Notamacropus eugenii: one gene and its partner. The protein of the gene in region 2 purifies or fractionates together with the protein of the main gene of each other region. This does not show direct contact. Links are inferred from orthologs where the notes say so. Each region holds a gene or a part of one and is shown on either strand. Other genes may lie near its edges. The genes, in order: NUDCD3 and KLHL6.

Region 1 (11,176 bases), on a different chromosome or scaffold from region 2:
AAGCTTGCAGGTCTCTCACTTGTGACTAAGACCCTGGGAGACACAAAACTCAATACCCCAAGAAAGTTGCAACAGGAACAACCCAGAACTTCCCTCCAAAAGTGTGGCAGGGCCCAGCTCTAATGTTAAATGCAAACTCATTAAGAAGAGGAATGGGCAAACTAAAAAAAGAACCCCACCATAATGAGTAACTATGGTGGCAGAAAAGTTCAAGACCCAAACACAGATAAGGAAAATTACCCCAAAACATCTACAAACAATGCCTCACAGAAAAATAGTTTGGGCTCAAACTAAACTAAAATTCCTGGAATATATGAAACAAGACTTTGAATTTTTTTTTTTTTTACTAAATGGAATGAAAGTGCATGAGGAAAAAATTGGAAATGAAAGCTATAGAATAAAAAACTGTAAAGAAAATTAACATCTTGGCACTAGAGATATGAAACCACGCGTGTCCAAGCAATGTTTAAATGGTCGAAATTGAAACCAACGATTTCATGAGGCATCAAGAAATACTGTGTGTGTTCGTCCTTCGTTGCCGAAGAAGACCATACCATCAGAGAAATAATGACATGACTTGCAATTGACTTTTGTTTTGTACTTGACTTTGTTTGTGCAGGTCACCAGCCTCACTTCTCCCTCCAGAGCCATGGGAATCCAGTGACCAGATATTCATCAGGATGACTCCAGATGACCCAGAATGAGGCAATTGGGGTGAAATGACTTGCCCAATGTCACACAGTTAGTGAGTGTCAAGTGTCTGAGGTGAGATTTAAACTCAGGTCCTCCTGACTCCTGCACTGGTGCTCTATCTATTGCACCACCTAGCTGCCCACGCAAGAAATATTAAGACAAAGTCAAAAGAGGAAAAAAAAACTAGAAGAAAATACAAGTTCTCTCATAGCAAAAACAACTAACTTGGAAAAGAATGAAGAGAAAATTTAAAAATCATTGGTCCATCTGAACATCATGACCAGAACAAGAATATATATGTGTGTGCATGTATATTATATATGCACATATACACACATATGCAACATACCTGTATACATATACAAGTGCGTATGTGTGTGTATATATATATTTATATATATATATATTTTTATATATATATATATATATATATATATATACACACACACACATATATGAAATGTTTCAAGAAATCTTAAAAGAAAATTGCCCAGATCTCTTAGAACCAGAGTGCAAAGCAGAAACAGAAAGAATCCACTGGTTATTTCATGAAAAAATCCTCAGAATGAAAACTCTTAGGAACATCACAGCCAAAACCTAGAACTTCCAAAACTAAGAAAAAATACTTCAAACAGACAGAAAGAAAGAATTCCAGTACCAAGGAGTCACAAGATTACACACAATTTAGCTGTCACCACCATAAAGGAATAGAGAACATGGAATATAATATTCCAGAAGGCAAAAGCTATATGGGCTTTATAGTCAAGAAAAACTTACCAGCAAAACTGAATGCAATATTATGGGAGAAAAAAAAACCAGATTCTTAAAGAAACAGACAACTTTCAAACATTCCTGATTAAAAAGGGAAAGGAAGGTTAGGGAAAATTACCTTACTTTATCAGGATGAATGTAGAGGGGTTGGAGGGGGGGGAACAGAGAGACATTTGAACCTTCCTTTCATTCAAAATAGTCAAAAGAAGGGAGAATACACATACTCAGATGAAGACAGAAATACCTTTCATTCAACAGGGAAATAGGAGGGAACAGGGATTAGGGAAAAGGAGTCTTAGAGGAAAGGTTAAGTCAAGGGAGGGATTAGTTTTAAACAAAACAAACTCTAAAGATATAAAAAAATAGCTTTTTTTGAGGTGGCAAGGAATGGCAACTTGACAGGGTGCCCATAAATTGAATAATAGATGAACAAAATATAGTATATAAATGGAATAGAATACTATTGTGCTAAACTCTTTATCTGCATAATGACCAACCAGGGTTCCAGAAAATTAATATGCTATCTACCTCCTGAGAGGTAAAGTACTAAGACAAATTTTTTTTGGACAAGACCCGTTTGGAATTTTGCTTTGATTGACCATACAAGTTTGTAATGGCTTTTGTTTTTCTTATGTTCAAGTAGGGGATTGGGTTACAAAGGTGAAAAGACAGATCTTGGATGATTAAAACAAACAAAATATATCTTTAAAAGCAAAAGAAAAACAATTCTGCCTCACACATTTGCGAGCTGTATGTTCACACCCAGGCAAGTCACTTAACATCTCTGAACTTATTCTCTCATCTTTAAAATGGAAATAATAACAGTATCTATTTCATAGGGCTGTCATGAGGAGAAAATTAAATAACATGTAAAGCATCATATAAATGTGATCTATATCATCATCATCATCATCACTATTATTTGTACAGAACTATTAGATGAAATTTCTGGTCATAGGAAAGGTTAGAAAAGACACAATGCTGGCCCTCAAATAATTCACAGTTCATGATGGTACAATGGAAAAGCACTTGATTTCAAGTTAAAGGACCTAAGTTCAAATCCCACCTCTGATATTTACATCTGTGTCACCTTGGCCAAGTCACTTAATCTCTCTGGGCCTCAATTTTCTCATCTGTAAATGAAGGGGTTGCACTGGATGTCCTCTAAGGTCCCTTCCAGCTTTAAATTTATAATCCTAGTAGAGGCATAAGACACCAATTTACTAATATAGGAAATTTCTTCCTACCTCAGATACAGATTAATATTTTTACTTCTGGATTTAAATAGACACCTTGAAATTCATCAAACTTTGAACAAAAAATTGCGCCCATTCCACAACCTGACAGCCTATGATCCTGCTTCCTTCCCTTCAACCTCTTGGTCAATTATTCCATTTTAACATAGCTCTAGTTCTATTGAGGTTATTTATGTTTTCCTCTCAGGAAAGTGGAGTTCTCTAAGTGATGCTCCCAAGCCTCCAGTGGTGTCCAGGCCACCATAAAAATAGGTAATATTTATATTCCTCTTTGAAGATTTATAAAGCCAAAGTTTTACATACATTACCTAGAAGCCTCAAAATATCCCTGAGATAGATGCTACTTTTATTCCCTGTTTTACAGCTGAGGAAACGTTACCTTATTGGAACCTCAAAATATTGCCAGAGTTGATGCTATTTTTTATTCCCCGTTTTACGGATGAGGAAACTAAAATCCAGAGAGAAACTATCTTGTCCAAGATCACAGTAAAGAGTGTTAGTATGAAAAGAGCTGGATTTGGAGCGATATGACCTGGGTTCAAATGGCAGGTCTTCACTACCACTGCTTAACTGTAGGTAAACTACTTCAGTTCTTTTCCCAGATTTTCCCATGGGTAAAACGAGTGGGGTAGCACTAAGAAAACCTCTAGGATTCCTTCCAACTGTAGGAGCGGTGTGAAGGCAGGAATGAAAACCCAACTCTTCCAGATTGATTCCAAGTCCTCAGGCCCCCTCAGCAAGAGCCCCGTCACGCCCTTTCAAAGAAGGCAGCTCAGCAGGGGGCCTCGGATAGACCGGAGAGACCCAGGGGACTGAAATCCCCCCAAACAGACTCCCAGAGCGTCCGAGCTGGGAGAGGTCTTAGAGGTCACTTTACAGAAAAGGAAGCTGCGGGCCAGAGAGGGGAAGCGGCCAACAGAGGGTGACCGAGCTCCGGGCTCTCCTCGCTCCCTCCCTTCCATATCCCGGGCACCGGGGCAGAGGTGGCGGCGAAAGGGCGGCTCCCCCCCCCACACCCCCGGTGACAAAGGGACGCAGCCCTCGGGTGGGGTCGCGCCGAGCCGCCCCGCCCCGCCGTGCCCCCCCCACCCCCGGTTACCTGCAGCACCATGGCTTGGGCCGCCCCGGGGGGGAAGCCCATGCGGTCAGCCGAGTGGCGCAGCAAGCGGTAGAAGTCCGTCTTGCGGTAAAGGAAACCGAACAACACCCGCAGAAAGTCCTGGACGTTGCCCACGTGCTGCAGGATGCCCAGCAGCGCCTGGTCGTACAGCTCCGCCGCCCCGGGCTCCATGGCGACCGGCCCGGTCGGCCCCGAGGCGGGAGGGACACTGACACTCGGGGACAGGGGGTGCAGCGGCCTGCCGCGGCCTGGGTCTCAGCGTCAGCCGCCGCCTCTGCCTCTGACCGGCGGCTTCCGCTGTATGTGAGCGTGTGAGTGTGTGTGTATGTGTTTGTGTGTTTGTGTGTATGTGTGTAAGCGTGGGCACCGTCAACGGCTCCACCACCCAGCCGCCGAGACCGAGGGACTTCCGGTCTGCCCTGCTTGCCTCCGGAGACAACGTCCCTCCCCCGGCGCCGAGGCCGCCGCCGCCGTCGGGATTTCCGGCGTGGGTGCCCTGGCTAAACAGGCTCGACGCAGCAGGGGAACCAAAAGAGGGCCCAGACCAGAAAGTCGGGGGTTGGCGAGCACGTGACACCCAACGACCCTGTGGGAAGAGGGCAAAGGAAGTTTTCTACGCCTCCCCCCTCCACGTGACGTACGCGCGTCACTGAGAAAACATCGCCACCTCCCACTGCGCGCGCGTGGGTTCCGAGCGTCACGTGACTCCGAGTTTCGGGCTCCTTTCTGTTTGAAGTTTGTTTCTCCGGACTGAATCGTGCTTAGCCTCGGTCCGCTCGGCGTCCTGAGAACCGGGGTGACCTCGGGCCTGGAACCAGACGCCCCGAGGGCTGCAGCTGGTGTGGAAGTTAAATGGTTTCGGTTTCAGCCCCCCTGTTGTGCACGCCAGGAAAAGGAGGCTAGGGAGATTCCGAGGTCGCGGAGCACCGCTGGATCCCGACCCCGATCCCGACCCCGATCCCGACCCCGATCCCGACCCCGATCCCGACCCCGGGTGTTGTCAAGAGCGGTGCTTGCCTTGCGGCCCTAGGAGTGCCCCACATCCCCTGCCAACCCTCCCAGTCATGCTGCCTGCGCACCGAGCATTGCCCTCTGGGCTCGCTGCGCCGGGCTGGTTTTGCTAAACTGATTTTTTTTCTTCTCTTTATAATTTTTCAAATGAGATAACACCTAGAGCGCTCCGGAAGCCCTGTAAACTTTACAGCTATTTATTTAATGTTATATTTATAGTATAACTACCTTTTTTTCCCTCTGTTGGGGAGAACATAAGATTTTGAAGGTAATGTAAAGGTAAAAGTTATTTTTAAAAGTTAAAGAAATTTTAAAAACTGAAAACCTTTTGCTTTAAGAGAAAGTTGGAAAGCTTTAAAAATTTTTATTGGGCTGATAAAAGGGGTGTGTTTTATGCGGTCCCCAATTTGCCCTAGTCAGGCCAAGTCTGAAGTGCTAAGTTCAGTCTGGGGCATATTTGGGTGATATGAGTAAGCTAAGTGGATAGAGCTGTGGGCAGGAAAATCGGAGTTCAAATCCAGCCTCAGACACTTACTAGCTGTAGGACATGGAGGAAGTCACTTAATCCAGTTTGCCCCTCGGTTTATCATTTGTGAAGTGACCTGAAGAAATAAATGCCAAACCCACTCCAGTATCTTTGCCAAGAAAACACCAAATGGCATCATGGAGAGTTGGACCCAGCCAAAACAAAACAACAATAAAAAGCTGAAGGAAGACCAGAAAAGTGAAAGGATCTTAAAATAACAAGATTTAAATCTGAAAGGGACCTTAGAAGCTTATCTAAACAGCCTCTCATTTTACATTTATAAGAAACTGAGGTCCAGAGAGTTTTAAGTGGGAGACCCAAGATTAACAACTGACAGGATTCAAACCCAGGTCCTTTAATTCTAAATCCAGCACTTTTTTGTGCCAATAGATTGTGTAACGGGAAGATCAGTTGATGAAACTGGAACAGCAACCTATGGGGCCACTGTCGACTTATTGAAAACCACATATTAGCCAGGAGCATTTGGAGGGGAAAGGTACCATAGTGAAATGGCACCAAGATGTCTTGGAAAAAAAAAAAAACATTTTGATCCACCAAAAATCCCTAAACTCAAGATGCTCAAAGATCAGCAGTATGTGGTGAGACCAATGGCCCCATTCAACATAAGACTTATGTAGTGAGTATATTTATGAAGGCAAGAAATTTAATGCCTGGAAGAAGACAGTACAGAATAAGCTATATCTGCAATTTTTCACTTCCACATCAAATGTACCTATTGTCTAGCTGAAATTACCTTCAAAACAGACCCAGAGAATACAAATTATATCATGGAGCCACATGAAATTTCTAGGCTGAGAAACTCCTGAAAGTTAAAGAAAAAAGGTTATAGAAGGAAAGAGAAGATGAAGAATTAAATAATTCCATGAAGGGGCTGGAGAACCAGATCAAGGACTCCAAGCTGGAGACGGAGACACTGGAAAATCTGCAGGAGCTGACAGTGTTTACCCAGTGCTAGGCTAATGTGGACTTTGAAGCAATATCACAGCAGTACCAAGTGTCTGAGAAGGAGAAACTCCAGTGAGATCAGGAGAAAGCCCAAATGGAAATGGAAAGAAGAAGCCAGGAAATGGTGACTGATCTAAGACACTGATTGATGAAGAGCTCACCCTTGCACCTACCCAGCTGCCCATTCAAGCCAACCCCACAGCCTTCTTAGAAGTCTCATAGCTAAAAAAGCAGAAGTTGGAGAGCTGGGAGCAGAGTGTGGGGGCACTTGGCAGCAAGTCAGAGCTGGCAGACCTGGTTGTGGCAAAGAGGCAGCTGCCCCAAGACCCAGTAGCAATAGTGGGCATGTGGTCTCGCTGTCTCATAGCACAGGTGTACAGCAGAGTTTTAAGGAGGCTAATGTTACCCAGGATATCCATTGTTTCAACCCTGAGCCACTTGGGGGCATACTCAAACAAGTGAAGACAGCAGCAACAGCAGCAACAGCAGCTGAAGCAAGGGAAACCTCAGACTGCTCCCCAATGGAGCCAGGTTGGAGTTGTTCGGTAGGCACAGCCATGTGAAGAAGAGAATTAGGCTGGAAGCAGTGCTGCCAGAGATTCTATCTAGTGAGCTTAGTGTGCTTTCCCCACTTCTTAGCTGCTCAGCAGCTGACTGCTCCATTCCTCTCCAAGCCCCTAAGCCCCAGGAGGATTCAGTGTGGTGGTACTCTTCCTCTGAATCTTTCCACTTTAGATAATGACAGGTGAAGATCTGACATCTGTTCCTGGCCTAGTAGACCTCCTAATAGCAGGGGTGGACCTATAGAAGATATTAGGCCTCAACCCTGCTTCCTTCAAACCCCTGCCCCTCATGCTCATCAAGCCCAGGCAATCAGAGCAGAATCCGTGGGGAAGCAGGGAATTACTTCTTACATTCCCTGGAACTTAAGAGCTTTTCCAGAATTCATTTATCTCTGTCACTGGTATTTCTTTCATGACAATCCATACAGACTGATATTTTTCATCAGTGCTCAGTGCTAACAGCATGTGTGGTGGGTTTGCCTTCGCCCTAACCCCATTTCAAGTAGCTAGGTGGTTTAGTGGATAGAACACTGGACATGCAGTCAAGAAAGCCTAAGTTCAAATCTGCTCTCAGACACTTATTAGCCATGTGAGCCTGGGCAAGTCACTTAAATCTATTTGCTTCAGCTTCTTCATCTATAAAATAAGCTAGAGAAGAAAATGACAAACCACTCCAAGATCTTTACCAAGAAAACCCCAATTGGAGTCACTAAGAGTGAGACATGGCTGAATATGTGTCAGGTACTGTGCTAAGCACTGGAGATACAAAGCTCCTCAAGGAATTTGCAATCCAGTAAAGGAAAGTAAGACTCAAAAGGAAACTAAGAAAGGGAAAGGAGGAGAAGAAATAACCAACATGGTGGCTTAGTGGAAAAAGGCAGGGAAGTCCCAAGGTAGAGCACCCAGGTAAGAAGTGAGTTTTCTAAACTGAAGTCTCCTTAAATGGAGATTGCAAGTTCATGGCCTCATCCTTCAATCAGTCATATAGAAGAAGGTTTAGATTTGTGCTTGGCCTTTCACCTGGAATCTATCAACTAGGTTTGTTTGTTTTTTAATCCTTCAGTTTCAATATAATTGGTTTCCTTTGTAATTCATTTTATTTTATGCATTTAAAAACATTATTCCAAGAAGAGTTTCTGAGAATAAATTTTACCAGAGCCCCAGTGGGGTAAGTGATACACAAATAGCTTAAGAACTCCTGCCCTAGAAAAGATAATTAGAAAAAAGGGGTGGAATTGCAGAAAAAAAAAAGACAAAAAAACACATATTTCTCCTCATTTAAAGAGGAACTTCCCAATACTCCCCCGCTAGATTGTAAACTCCTTTAGAATAGAGATTGCCTTTTTTGTATTGGAATCCCTATTACTTAACACAGTGCCTAGCACCTAGAAAGCACTTAATAAATGTCAATTGACTATGGCAAAAACTAGACCCTTTCTTCTCGTTCAGCCATCTCATATTGTAGATGGTGAAACTGAGACCAGAGGTGAAGAGACTTGCCCAAGATCACACAAGTAGTTAAGTGGCAGAGCTAGAATCAAACTTAGATCTTTTCATTCCAAATCTAATGCTTTTCCCCACTGCGTTTCACTCTTTTAGAGAAGATTCTTGTTCAGGTATGTGTAGTACTAGTTGGCCTCAGAGTTCCCTTCCAACTCTGAAATACTGTGCCAGCAGGATTGGTGAGTTAGGGGAATGTCCACCCCAACCATGTGAAGACTTTCCCTGGTGGGATGGACAGATGAGAACAATTTGTTCCAAAGGCCATGAAGATGGCTAAAGCAGGCACTGTGGAGCTCTTAGAGCTTGGTCAGACATCAGAGAAACCTAGGACATCCTCTCATCCCTAGCCATAGCCATTCACCTTGACATTTATCCTGCCACTGAACTTCAGTGACACTGGAAGAGAGAGTGAGGCTGTTGACTTTGTTCAATTCTACCTAAAATCCAATTCAGACACTAGTGAAGATATCATCCACAGTGTCATTGATCCTCTTCCAAAAAAATGATTAACAATTGTTTTTCATCTACCCTCAGCTAGGGCTCTGTTTTATTCATCTTTATTACTCCCACAGCATCTAACACAGAACCTTGCAGATTGTAGATGTTCAATAAATGAATACTGAATTCTTTGTTATATTTATTAAATTATATTTGTTATTTTTATAAGGTTTATAAAGTTCTCCATGCAGGGACCACTTGAATTCTCCCTTTAGTTTTAGAATAAAGAAATCTTGTCTGATGATTGAGTCACCAAACAAGAATTAAATTATGTTATGTTTAATTGTATCAATGACAAATTGTAAAATTTAAGTTGTTACATTTGGTTCCTGTTCTTTTATTAATTACTTGTGCAGGCTTTTGATTGATCTTTGTAAGAGAGTAGAATTGAAGAGGAGTAGGTAAATGACCTTCACCATGTGTTCTATATAGAAAAGACTACTGGTTGAATATCAGGCTTGTCAAGCTTATCCTCAAACATATGAACAATGACCTCCCTCAAGAAACATCTTGAGAAGAAAAAGGAAGATGTCCTGTCCAACATGGTGTTTGTCACTTTTGAAGGAAGCTCCCCCGACAGAGGGCTTGGACTGGCTAGAGGTCTACATAAGTTCTTTTGAAAATTAAGGTATATATTAATTAATAGGAATGGCTTGGTGAAAACAAACAAACAAACAAACTCTGGACTTGGAATCCAGAGAAACTTGAGTTTGAATCCTGCCTCTAATACTTTATTACCATGTACAAGTAACTGCCTCTCTCTCTGAGCTTTAGTTTTCTCATTTCTAAAATGTTGGGGGTGGGTGGGAAATAATAACCTGTAAGAAGAGAGACAGCCTGGCATAATGCATAGAGACCTAGCTTCATTGTCAGAAAGACCTGGATTTAAGTCCTCCTTTCTAACACCTAGCAGTGTATGTGACCCTCAGCAAGTGACAATTTGTTGTAGTCCAGAAAGTCACAAAGACTATGAGTTACAGGTAATGATCTGCTTTGAAAGGGGAAGTTTCTGTACTAAGATTCCCTCCACCAATGAAATCACAGATCTGCACTAAAAAAAAAAAATTCTTGTATTTACTTCAGTGGTAATGCCCACTATGAAATTAAACTTTGTGCAACATGGAGCAAAAACCACATGTGAAATCCTATTCTCATTCCTAGTCTTTTGGCAAGAAAACTTTGTGATTTCTTTGCGTCATATTATTTCTTGACTTCAGTACTCAAAGGTTGTTCCAGGTATCATACCTGTGTTGCCCAATATGTAGTATTTGGGCCACTGAAATACTGGCTGACATACAGTTCTTGTGTGTGCTTGCCTTCCTTTTACCTTACAAGAAGATAGTATATCATAGTAAATTATCCAGCTAAGGAGTATAGTACTTAAATTGTCCACCACATAACCCTCTTCCTAGAGCCATCACACTAGTTGCCTTTCAAAAGACTGAAGTATTATCCCTTCTTGGTACCAGCAGAGATTTAGCATACAAATACCTGGGCTACAACTGCTATACATGGCCACTTTCCAATTTTAACTAGGGGCCTTTAATGGAATATTACTCAAAACATCAAAAATATGAAATCTATAGCCATAGATCTCCCATACAATATCTGACTATTCCTCTCAGTAGTCGTGACATCCCACATCCAAAGAACTACAATATTCCATTTACTATGGAAGCAGTTGGTCAAATAGTAGATGGAGCACTGGGTCTGGAATCAGGAAGATCTGAATTCAAATCCAGCCTCAGATGCTTACTAGCTTTATGACCCTGGGCAAGTCATTTAACCCCAGTTTCCTCAACAGCACCTAACTCTCAAGGCTGTTGTGAGGATCAGATTGGATATTTATAAAAGCACTTAGCATAACGTCTGGCCCATAGTACATAATACTATTCCCTCTCCCTCCCTACTGTAGCCACTGTTTATTGAGCATAATGAAAATAACAGGAAAGGAGTTGAGAATCTATGTGGAACCAACCATGTTAAGGCATTTTCTAAAAACTCCCCCAGATGACCTCCCAGTTCTTCAGGTGTATCCCTTATAGTTTTAGAGAGTTGCTTACCTCATTAAGGAGTTAAATGACTTGCTGATGTGTCAGAAGCAGACTTAAGCCTGGCTCTTCTTCCAAAGGCAGCTTTCCAAGTCTTGTCAGAGAGGTAATAAGGACAAAAGGTCGACTTTGTTTTGGGTAGAGGTAAGAGCATTCACTGATCATGGAACAAGGGTTAAAGTCTGTACTTTGCCACTTAATATGTGGCTCTTGATTTG
Region 2 (10,889 bases):
ACAAGTTCACCAAAGGGAGGAAATCCACCCCTGTGTAATGTGGGCAGAGGGCACTTTTGCTCTGAGGTTGGAACACGCTTCCTTCCTCTCTGCTGAGAAGGCTGTAGAATGTTACCATTTCTTTTGCAGCAGTTGATAAATCAGATTGTTTTGCTTAGGTATCTGCTAAGGGAAGGTAACAGGAGGGAAGTAAACACTGTGTAAAAGACCCAAACCAGCCAAACACATCAACAGAAGATTTAAAAAATAAGTAATGTGCAGTACTGTTCACTCAATGACCATGAGCTGTTCTGAGAGATTTAGTGATTTGTTGGTTTTAGTCATTTTTCAGTCATGTCTGACTCTCTGTGACCCCATTTGGAGTTTTCTTGGCAGAGATACTGGAGGGGTTTGCATTTCCTTCTCAAGCTCATTTTACAGATGGGGAAACTGAGGCCAATAGGGTGAAGTGACTTGCCCAGGGTCACACAGCTAATACGTGTCTGAGGCTAGATTTGAACTCAGGAAGATGAGTGAGTCTTCCTGATTCCAGAGCTCTGTGCACTACGGCACTACCTAGGTGCCCTGGTAGCACTTTACATACACTCAATGAATATCCAGTTCACAAAGGTACGCTGTCTACTTTGCTTCTCTAGAGGTAGAGCAATCAAGCAAGTAAGCAGATATTTATTAGGTGCTCTGTGATGGGCCAGACACTGTCCTAGGCAGAGGGGACACAGACCAGAAGTTAAACAGTCCCTGCCTAGTCAAAGGAGACAACTTGAACACATATAAGCATGTAACAATATAAGTGCCCAATACATACAAGGTGATTTTGTGTGGGAGGGCACTAGAAGTTGGGATGAATCAGGAATATAAAAATTGACCCTTGAGTTGAGCCCTGAAGGAAAGTCAGAACAGAGGAAAGGAGAGAGTGTACTCCAGGGGAGTGTGTTGTGGATGAGGTAGAGTGGGAAGGTCACAGCCTTCATGGAGGGGAGCATGGAGATAAGATGGAACCAAAGATGCTACAATCTGGTCAAACTGACTTCTTCCTTTTCCTCATGTACAGCAATCCATTTCCCATCTCTGTGACTTTGCACTGGCTGTGCCTCATGCCCAGATCTGGGTTCAGCTGCTGTGCTGATGACCTCCTATTTCCATGGTAAGTTCTCATCATGGTTCCTGTCGTCTCAGGCTCCCATTCTCACTATGCCATTTGTTGGGGCTGCTCCCAGAATGTCCTAGCCTTTGTTTGTTGCGCGCACACACACACACACACACACACACACACACACACACACACACACACACACACACACACACACACACACACCCCTTCTCTTAAGACATGAGGGGCTAGCTTGTCACTTAAAAATCTGGCCACGTTAGCCCAAGGTCACGGTGACTTCTTAGGGACATGAAGAAGTAAGAAATGCTGTTAGGATCTCTCTCTCTCTCTCCCTCTCTCTCTCTCTCTCTCTCTCTCTCTCTCTCTCTCTCTCTCTCTGTCTTTCTCTGTCTCTCTCTGTCTCTATCTCTGTCTCTTTCTCTCTGTCTTTCTCTCTTCTTTCTTCTCTCTCACTCTCTCCCTCTTCCTCTCTTCTCTCTCTCTCTCGCTCTCTCTCTCTCTCTTCTCCACTTTCTCTTCCTCTTTCCTCTTTCATTTACCATCAGACTCCAGGCTCCACAACTCTTAGCAACCTGAGGGAGTGCACAAATTCTCTTGTCCAAGTTTGCCCCCAAAGAAGAGATATGAGAATGTACCTCTTTCCATTTTTAGTAAAGATGGGGGACTATGTGTGTGATACACAGCATACACCAACCACACTTGGCTGACATGATGCTTAGTGAGTTTTTCCTTTCTTTTTTCTTCTTTGTTATAAGAGATGAAACTGTGGGAAAGGAAGAAGGAGGGTTATAATGGGAAATGAAGGTGATTTAACAACAACAACAAAAGATATAAACAAAAATTTAAATTGAAAAAGGCATTCAAGAATTCTGCCAGGAATTGGAGTCAGACTCATCAACTATGCAAAATAGCTTATAGTTGAAGAATTATCCTTCATTTTGAAAATAAGCAATAGCTTTGTAGCCCTTCTTTCATGTCTGTGATTTTTCAGAGAGCATCAAGAGGAGGGGTGAGGAACCTGTGGCCATATAGGTCCTCAAGTCCACTTCAGTTTGGATTCAGACAAAGGGCCACACTTGAGGACCTAGAGCACCACATGTGGTCCCCACCCCCATCCAAGAACAGCTCAGCCATCCTTCCTTCAAGTTCATTGCTTGCTGAACTCCAGTCATATTGTATTGAGACTATCCCTCAAGCCTGGGGTTTGAAAGATTGATTCCTTCATCATCTCCACCTGAGACACAGGATCATAGCTCAAGAGCTGAAGAGTGCATCTATCAGAGGTCATGGAGTCCAACTCCCTTATTTTAGAGTCGAGGAAATTGAGGTCGAGGGAGGTTAAAAGACTTCAAAAGGTCATAGACATGCATATAATTTTGTCTACCCCACCCCCACCCCATTTAAAGAAGACGAAACTGACCTAAGGAAGCTAAATGACTCATCCGAGACTGTATAGACAGTGACTTCTCAGGTTCCTTAGGGTCCTCCTTCTATGAGATCCCAGGTCCCTCAGGGAATGCTCCATCCATCCACAGATGGGTTTGGGTTTATTTGCCTATATCCACATCACATGCCCACAGCCGACTGTGAAACCCTTGAGGGTGGGGAACAGGTTCATTTTTTTCTCTGTCCTTATCTCCAGAACCTAGCACAATACAGCCAGATACTTACTGCATGTTAATTAAATGAAACTGAATTTTGAATTGGGGCCATTTTCTCCTCAACCATGATCTCTACTTCTCACCTTGTCTCCGTGCCAGTAGAGGGTCCAGGGCAGGGTCTTGCAGTCATTGGATGGGCAGTGGAGAAGGGGAAACTGATAAAGAAAGGGAGAACAAAGTTCTACAGTTCCTTTTCCCTCTACCACACCCCCGATGGCAGATGTAGCCTTGTTGGCAATATCCCTAGCTTTTGTTTCACTTCCTTACTTTCCCCCTCCTAAGCCCATTTCCGTTGCTCAACCCAGATCTCTCACCCCAGCTCCAGGGACACTGTGTTTTCTTCTGAAGTGTAGAGAAAGGTTACTGTGGTCCTCTGTGCAAACAGAGACCTGTCATCAACATCTGTATTCTCTTTGTATCTTTTTATAGTAATTATGTGAGAAAAGGAATGTCAGGGAAAGTGAGGAAGGGGGAGCCCTTTGATCTCTCATTATTTCTCCACTCTTGCATTATTTCTCCACTCAGAATTCTCGGATACTGAGCAAGACAAAGTCTGCTTCCATATAACAGGGAGGTACCTGGTTGCAGACCAGATGTGCAGATGGAGTGTGAACACGCCACACAGACCTGGAGACAGTGATGGGCCAGAAAGGAAAAGAAAGTAACCAAGGCTTGCTCCTTGCTGGTACTGTGAGTCACGTAGACTGTGCAGGTATAGCAGGATGGGTGGGCTATCCCCTAAGCTCCTTTCCAGTTCCTCCAGGAGAAGAAAGTTAAGTTGTTTCTAAGCAACACCAAGTCACACAATGTAGTATTCGTGGTATAGGTCTCTACAGAAAGCTGGAGGAAAGTTTTCTTGCCTGATTATGGGATTGGGCATAAGTCTTTTCTATATTTAGGATCAAATATGAACTTTTGGACATTGAGAACTCTTTATAACCTGTTCTCGGTTAGGTAGGTGGCATAGTGGATAGAGTGCTGGGCCGGAGTCAGGAAGACCAGAGTTCAAATCTTGACTCAGACACTTCCCCGCTGTGTGATCCTGGGCAAGTCACTTAACCTCTGTCTGCTTCAGTCCCCTCAACTACAAAATAGGGACCAAAATATTATCTACCTCCTGGGATGGTTGGGAGGAACGAATGAGATGATATTTATAAAGTGCTTAGCACCATGTCTGCCACACAGTAAGTAGTTCATAAGTGGTTTTTCCCCCTTCCTCCCCACTCCCTCTTCCCAATCTTCTTGCACATCATTTTCTTCCATATATTTTATGGTTCAGCCATATTGGTCTATTCCTTGAGGAGCAGACCTACTTTCTCAAATTACATTGGAGCCTTCTACACTTTCTATAGGGATTTCTCTCCATAGGTCGTCATTTGTAGTGAGTATGGTTGTGCCCAGATGCCTGTGCTGGTCCAGGGCCATGGATGGAGCCCAGACTCATTATACACCAGAATAGGGTGAGTTGAACTCATTTCCTTCAAGTCTTTTCTCTAGTAGCAGCTTCTGCAGGGTCCCTGTCCTGGGTCCCCCTCCAAGGTTACCTTATACCTGCCTTAGACATGTTTTATATGTACCTGTATATGTCTATACTGTTTCCCCCATTAGAATAGGCACAATTTCCTTTTTGTCTTTGTAGCTCCTAATATATGGCCCAGCACATAGTAAGCCCATAATAAGTGCTTGACGATGAATGGATGGAGCTGTGGTCTGTATCCTACCAAGAGCTGTTATGAAATTACATTCAGCTGAGGTCTCTCTCCTCCAGTTTCCCACCTCCCAAAGGGGGGATATCCATTAGGGATCCCTGACACCTGATATATGTAACCCTAAAAAGTTTCATAAAATCATATATCTGGAACTGGAAGGGACTTCAGAGGTTAGCTAGTCCAACCCTTTTGTTTTACAGATAGGGAAACTGAGGTCCAGAGTGGGGAAAATGTGACGCATGAATTCATATAGATTGTGGCAGAGGTACCTGACTATAACTACCTAAATTGCACATATGACTCCCAGGAGTAGCCGATAAGCCTTTTGGGAGTATGCCAGGGAGACGCGATTCTATTTTAAGGATGGAAACCTTGGTCACTGGACTAGGATTAGAAGGACAATCTAAAGCCATGAGAACAAAACTTTCTTCTCATGAAGCTACTGCCTTCTACAGGAACTGAACCTGTCGTGTTGGTCATCCATATTTACAGCAATTCCAACCCAATGAAAAAAACAGATTTGTCTTCCTTGCCTACACCCACACCCAGTCTACTTTTGCAGAGTCCAGCTCTTGGACATCCCAAAACTTCCCTAGGTAGTGCAGGCAAACTATACTTAGATCCCCTTCCCAGCTGGGAAGCTTCAGTCCATTGTCTTTCATTTTTATTTCTTAGTTGGGCAATGCATTTCTCACTGTAGAAAAAGATGCTTCAGTGACTTAGATGATGGATGAGGTGAGCCATGGTGGAGGCCAAGGGCACAGTAATTTTCAGGTCTCAAGAGGGAGGAGGAGTCCAAAATAGTCTGAGACTTCTGGGTCCATGTTTCAGGTCAGTTCAGGCATTTCCAGCTTGTGCAACTGCGAGTGTGGAGTGGGCATGGAATCAGAGACTCATACAGAGGGAAATGGACTGGATTCTGTATCAGAGAACCTTGGTTTGAACTCCTCTTACTGCTTGAGTACCTTGAGCAAGTCCCTTAACCTCTCTAAGTCTCAGTTTCCTCATTTGTAAAATGAAAGCATTGGTCTGTATGGTTCTTTCTAGCTCTCTGACTCTCCACCATCTTATGACGACTCCCAGAATTATCCCAGTCAGTGCAGGAACCCACTTAGATATATTAAAAACACATTTAACAGCCAGGACCAAAGAGCTCCATTACACTTGGTAGCTGATCATCATATTAAGGTAGAAAATGGCTTGGATCAGTCCGTTGATAAGCTATTATTTATTAAAGACCTACTATGTGTTAAGCACTGGGGATACAAAGGAGAGCAAAAGACAGTCCCTGCTCTCATGGAGTTCCCAGGGCAATGGAAACAAAATGAAACCAGGAAGTTGTTATTATTCAGTTGTTTCAATCATGCCCAATTCTCAGTGATGCCATTTGGAGTTTTCTTGACAAAGATATTTGGTGTGGTTTACCATTTCCTTCTCTAGCTCATTTTACAGATGAGGAAACTGAGGCAAGCAGGATGAAGTGACTTGCCCAGGGTCACACAGCTAGTAAGTGTCTGAGGCTGGATTGGACTTCAGGCTCTGAGCTCCATCCCTCCACCACCTACCTGCCCCTGGTCAGGAAGACCTCGTTTAAAATCCTGTGTCAGATAATTACTAGTTGTGTGAGCGCAGGCAAGAAAGTCACTCGCAAGTTAGCTCAATTGTAAAATGTGGAGGATAGACTCAATGGTGTCCGAGAACTCTTCTAGCTCTAAATTTGTGATGATATGTGTGATCTGTGATCTGACTCTTCCCCTTACATCTCAGCTTCTCCCTTTGTTTGTTTGTCTGAAATCATTTCTAAATGCAGTGGTATTTCAAAGAAAGAAGAAAAAAAAGAAGTTGCCCTCATTTGTAGCAACAGGATGAGAAAGTGCAAGGTTTCCTGTTATGTGTATGTGTGTGACAGCTGTTGATAAGTGGAGGGCCTTGGACAGGAAATCTGCTTGGCTCCTACAGTGTGACCTGGGTGAAACATCAGAGCTCTTTCAGACTTGTGTTGACGGGATGACACGGTGCCTCCTGAAACATGGGAGACACTGTGGAAAAAAGCCTAGAAGGACCCCTTACTCCTCTGGACGAGGGCCATTCCAGGAAACGTGGGGATCTGGTGGAAATCTTGAATGGTGAAAAAGTGAAATTTGATGACACTGAACTCTCGAGAATTCTACAGAATGGTTTGGAAAACCTCCGACTGGAAAACTCCCTGACCGATGTCATCTTGTGCGTGGACATTCAGGAATTCTCCTGCCACCGGGCAGTGCTTGCTGCAGCCAGTAATTATTTCAGGTATATGATACCCAGAATGAGAGTAGAGCTTGGCATTTGTTTGAACAAGGATTTCTGCTGGTGCTAGATTTGAAACGAATTGATAGGATGCTGTAACCATGGTTTGAAAATCACCTGAGGGGAGATGCTAACAGAGAAGTCCAGACATGGGGAACCTATAGGCTATTTTACAGACTAAGTCATAGAAAAATCACCATTTGGGGGATACATTTCGATGAAAGTCAAAGCCAAGGGTAGTTGTAGAGGAAGATGAAATGGATTGAAACTCCTGGGTCTTGCTGAGTTCTGTTGGGTTTGTTTTTAATTTGGCACCGTTGTTATCTGTGTTCTTTGTAACAATACATTAGAGAAACAGGATGTAAAACAAGAGTCCCTTCTTTTTTTCGAGTTATAACATGAATTGCCGAGAATGCTCCAATTGACTTTGGATTCAGTGAACCTGAGTCCAAATCCTGACTCTGACCCTCTCTATTTGTCACTTCACCTTTCCTGGGTCTGAGTGTCCTCATTTGTAAAATGACTGTTGAACTAGGTGGTCTTTGTTGTGTCTTACAAATGTTCATTTATGATCCTATAATTAAGGGGCTTGGGGGGATTGTGGGTAGCAGAGGGAGAAGAGGTTATTTCAAGGGCTCAGAGAAAAGGAGGGTGCTGAATCTCTAAATCATATTGAATTATCTATCTTATCTATTAGCCTTGTTTATACCCATCTGATGGATAGCCCTTATTTTCACCAGCTTGTGCACTATGCCTAGAATTCTGTCCCTCATCCTCTTCACCTCTGGGCTTCCCCCAGGGGTCAGTTGAAATCCAGCCTTCTAGAGGAATCCTTTGTCTTTGCTTTTAACAGGATGCCTTCCCTCTGTTGATCACCTCTTGGCCCAGCATTTATTGATTGTACACAGCTGTGTGCATGTTGGCCCCTATTGGAGTATGAGCTTCTTGAGAGCAGAGACTGACTTCTGCCTTTCTTTGTATCCCCCAGCACTTGGCACAGGGTCTTGGCACATAGTAGACGCTTTAAAAAGCTTCTTGACTTGACTGATAGGAAGCTCATGGGAGCATAGATTTAGAGGTAGAAGGGACTTTAGATATCATCTAGTTATCAGCTCATAGGATTCTAGCTCTAGAGTTGGAAGGGACCTCAGAGGTCACCTAGGTCACTCCCCCTCCATTTTACCAATGGGGAAACTGAGGCCCAGGAAGGGAAGTAACTTAGAATGACATGATCATAAATATAGAGCTGGAAGAGATCTCAGAGATCAGATAGTCCATCACCTTCATTTTACAGACAGAGAAACTGAGGCCTAGAGAAGTGAAATGATTTGCCTTTGTCACCGGGATGGAAAGAAGGAAAGCTAGATGTTGAGCCCAAGTTTTCTGATTCCAGACCCAGTCTTCTTTCTAACCCAGTATGCTGCCAATACAAGTAACAAGGTGTTGTTCATAACTGATATGCCAGGGTCCCATGTCAGGGATATTCCTGAGGCTCCCGAGTCATGGAAAAAGGACAAACCATGTCATAACCCTTCTTGACATCAAGGAAAGGGATCTTTCCATTCACTATCTTAGATCACAGAGAGAAGAACAACTTTATTTTTTCAAGTTTTAATGGCTCCTTTTGTATTTATGCCACAGCGATTTATCAAGGCATCACTCCCATCTTACTCCATTGAACCCTTCCCTACAAAACAGCCAAAGGTATACAAACCAAACCAACTGAGTGAGGCCTGGTGTTTGAGGTTATACGGAACATTCTGCTTCACTAGTCCCCCACCTCCCTCCTGGGAGAACATCCTCTGTCCTCTGAGACCAAGACTGATCATGACAGTTATTCAGAGGCTGGCACTCAGGGTTGTCTTCATTTACATCATGGTAGCCAGCCTGAATGCTGACCTCCTGGTTCTGCCTGCTTCCCTCTATATTAGTTCATACACGCCTTCCCATCCGAACGACTGGCCTGTGAAAAGCCCAGCAGAGCAGGCTCCTCTCCTAGCAGGTGCTGAATAATATCTGCCTCATGGATGACAAGAAAGACCTTCTCTTTGTTAATGCATTTTTCATGAAATTCATAAGAATGGTTACTTTGACATCCATGGACAGAGTGGGAGATATGACTCAGACCCCTAAGACAAGCAGACCACTGTGTTAGGTCTACATATTGAATCCATCATCACTGCAGGAAAGAAAAAGGATAGAAAAAGCTAGGAAAAGAAAATACTAGCCCTGGAGTCAGAGGATCTAGGTTCCTTTGACACTTAATGCCTGTGTGACCTTGGACAAGTCACTTAGCACTTATTGGCCTCAGTTTCCTCATCTGTAAATGCAGGAGCTGGGCTAGATGGCCTCTGAGGTCCCTTCCAAATCTAGGATCCTATGAAATCCCCTTGACTTCCATGAACCTCAGTTGCCTCATCTGTAAAATAAAGGGTTTGGAATACAATGTTCCTTCTGATATATTTTGATGACTATCATTTCAGTCCGTGAGCAATTTGTCCAGTGTTGCAAATTTCAATCCTTTCATATTCATTTTGTGTGATCCTTCCCTTGGTTTTCTTAATATATCAGACATAGCCACGTAGCCTCCCGCTGCTTCTGTGTTGTCTCTCCGTCTTTCTACCCATCCGGCCCACTTCCCTTTTCCAGTCTTACATATTCACAGCGATGTTGCATGCTATTTATCGTTGGAAGAATTGTTCCATTTCCTGTCTGATAGTTGTCCTCTGCTTTTCACTCACGAACACTCTTGGATTGACAGGAAGCATTGTGAGAGCCCTGAATTTGAAGAAAAGGGATAGGAGGTCATATCCTGGCTCTTTGTGACCTTGGGTAAACCAAACAACCTTTCCGGGTCACAGTCTCCTCATCTGTTAAATGAAGGGCTTGGTCTCCACCTCTTAGCTGGCTTAGCTAGATCTCATGCCAAGTTTTTAGAGGGTGGATTATTTTCTTCAACAGCTTTGCACTGTTTTGTGAGTTGATAGGGCTTAGAATCTTCCATACTTCTTTATAATGCAGAGATTTGACTAAATTCTTGCATTGACTAAAGATACAGTGATGAAATGGGCGTGTCCATTTCCCATTTTTCTGAGTGTTTAAACATTTTGGGTTGCAATATTTATAATTGTTCACATCCTTTCCTCATTTCTTGACATTTGATGCTTACTTGGACTTTTGATGATAAGACCGCTCATTAACAGTTGGTTCTGAAATGGCTAAAATCCCACCTTCTGCAAGTTGCCTTTCTCAGTCCTCTTTAAACTTAGTATCATCCTTCTGATTCTATTCCCTCATGTATCCTGTCCATAGCTTAACAAATTCTGAATGGTTGAATGAAAGAAGTATTCATGAGTATTTTTCAGATGTTGTGTTTCTCCAGAGTTTACCTGATTCTGGTCTCTTTCATTTTTTGACCCCAAAGCATATTTTCCAATATAATTTTCACTGTTGTCCACTGTGCTCGCTCTCAGATTGAAGCCATTGAATATCATGGTCTGGGCTGACAAAATATGGGGGATCTTGTTGAGTTTTTCAAAGAATTTCTCCATATCTTTGGATGTTGGTTCAGACCCAGAGCCCCAAATTGTCCTCACTGTGGCATCTTTGCTTACACCCACTGAAAGCTCTTCAAAGTAGCAGGACCTCATGGCCCATAATATGTGAAGACACATGTACATCAGTACACGATGAAAACAAGTCTAACAAAGAGACAGGTCAACCATCCCTCCACTGAGCTGTAACTCTTTGGTCTTCTGATTTCATCATAGCAAAAATTTGTCAGTGTCTATGGGGTTCAATTCCTCTAAAAATCTATGACTGTGTTGGTCATTACTTCCAAAGTGTCAAGATTTTAAATTTCTAGATGGTCTAAGAACTGGTTGACTTTTAGCAACCTCTAACCTGAGTGTTGGTAAGCTAGGGTCCACAGCTCTGTGGATAGATTTCAAAGAATCCATGAATTTATTTAAAATTTTTCTTAGCTTCGTTTAATTAGATTTGATTTCTTCTATAATTCTCCATCTTTTATTTTAGAAACATGATTGTAAGAAAAGTTCCCTAGGTTTCATCAGACTCCCAAAGGAGACCATAGCATAAATGAAGTTAAGACCCCTGGTCTAG

The links.
Region 1: the proteins of KLHL6 (region 2) and NUDCD3 purify together in Homo sapiens (affinity purification with mass spectrometry; 3 studies listed by BioGRID and IntAct, counting the BioPlex papers as one, with this or other methods). This does not show direct contact. The link is inferred for Notamacropus eugenii from reciprocal best matches to the Homo sapiens genes KLHL6 and NUDCD3.

What each region holds. Positions count from the first base shown.
Region 1 is NC_092872.1:522,769,084-522,780,259, forward strand, and holds the start of NUDCD3 (nudC domain-containing protein 3), read right to left. Parts: upstream 4,384-11,176; 5' UTR 4,012-4,383; coding exon 3,820-4,011; intron 1-3,819.
Region 2 is NC_092873.1:54,257,327-54,268,215, forward strand, and holds the start of KLHL6 (kelch-like protein 6), read left to right. Parts: upstream 1-6,296; 5' UTR 6,297-6,510; coding exon 6,511-6,770; intron 6,771-10,889. UniProt on the Homo sapiens protein: Involved in B-lymphocyte antigen receptor signaling and germinal center formation.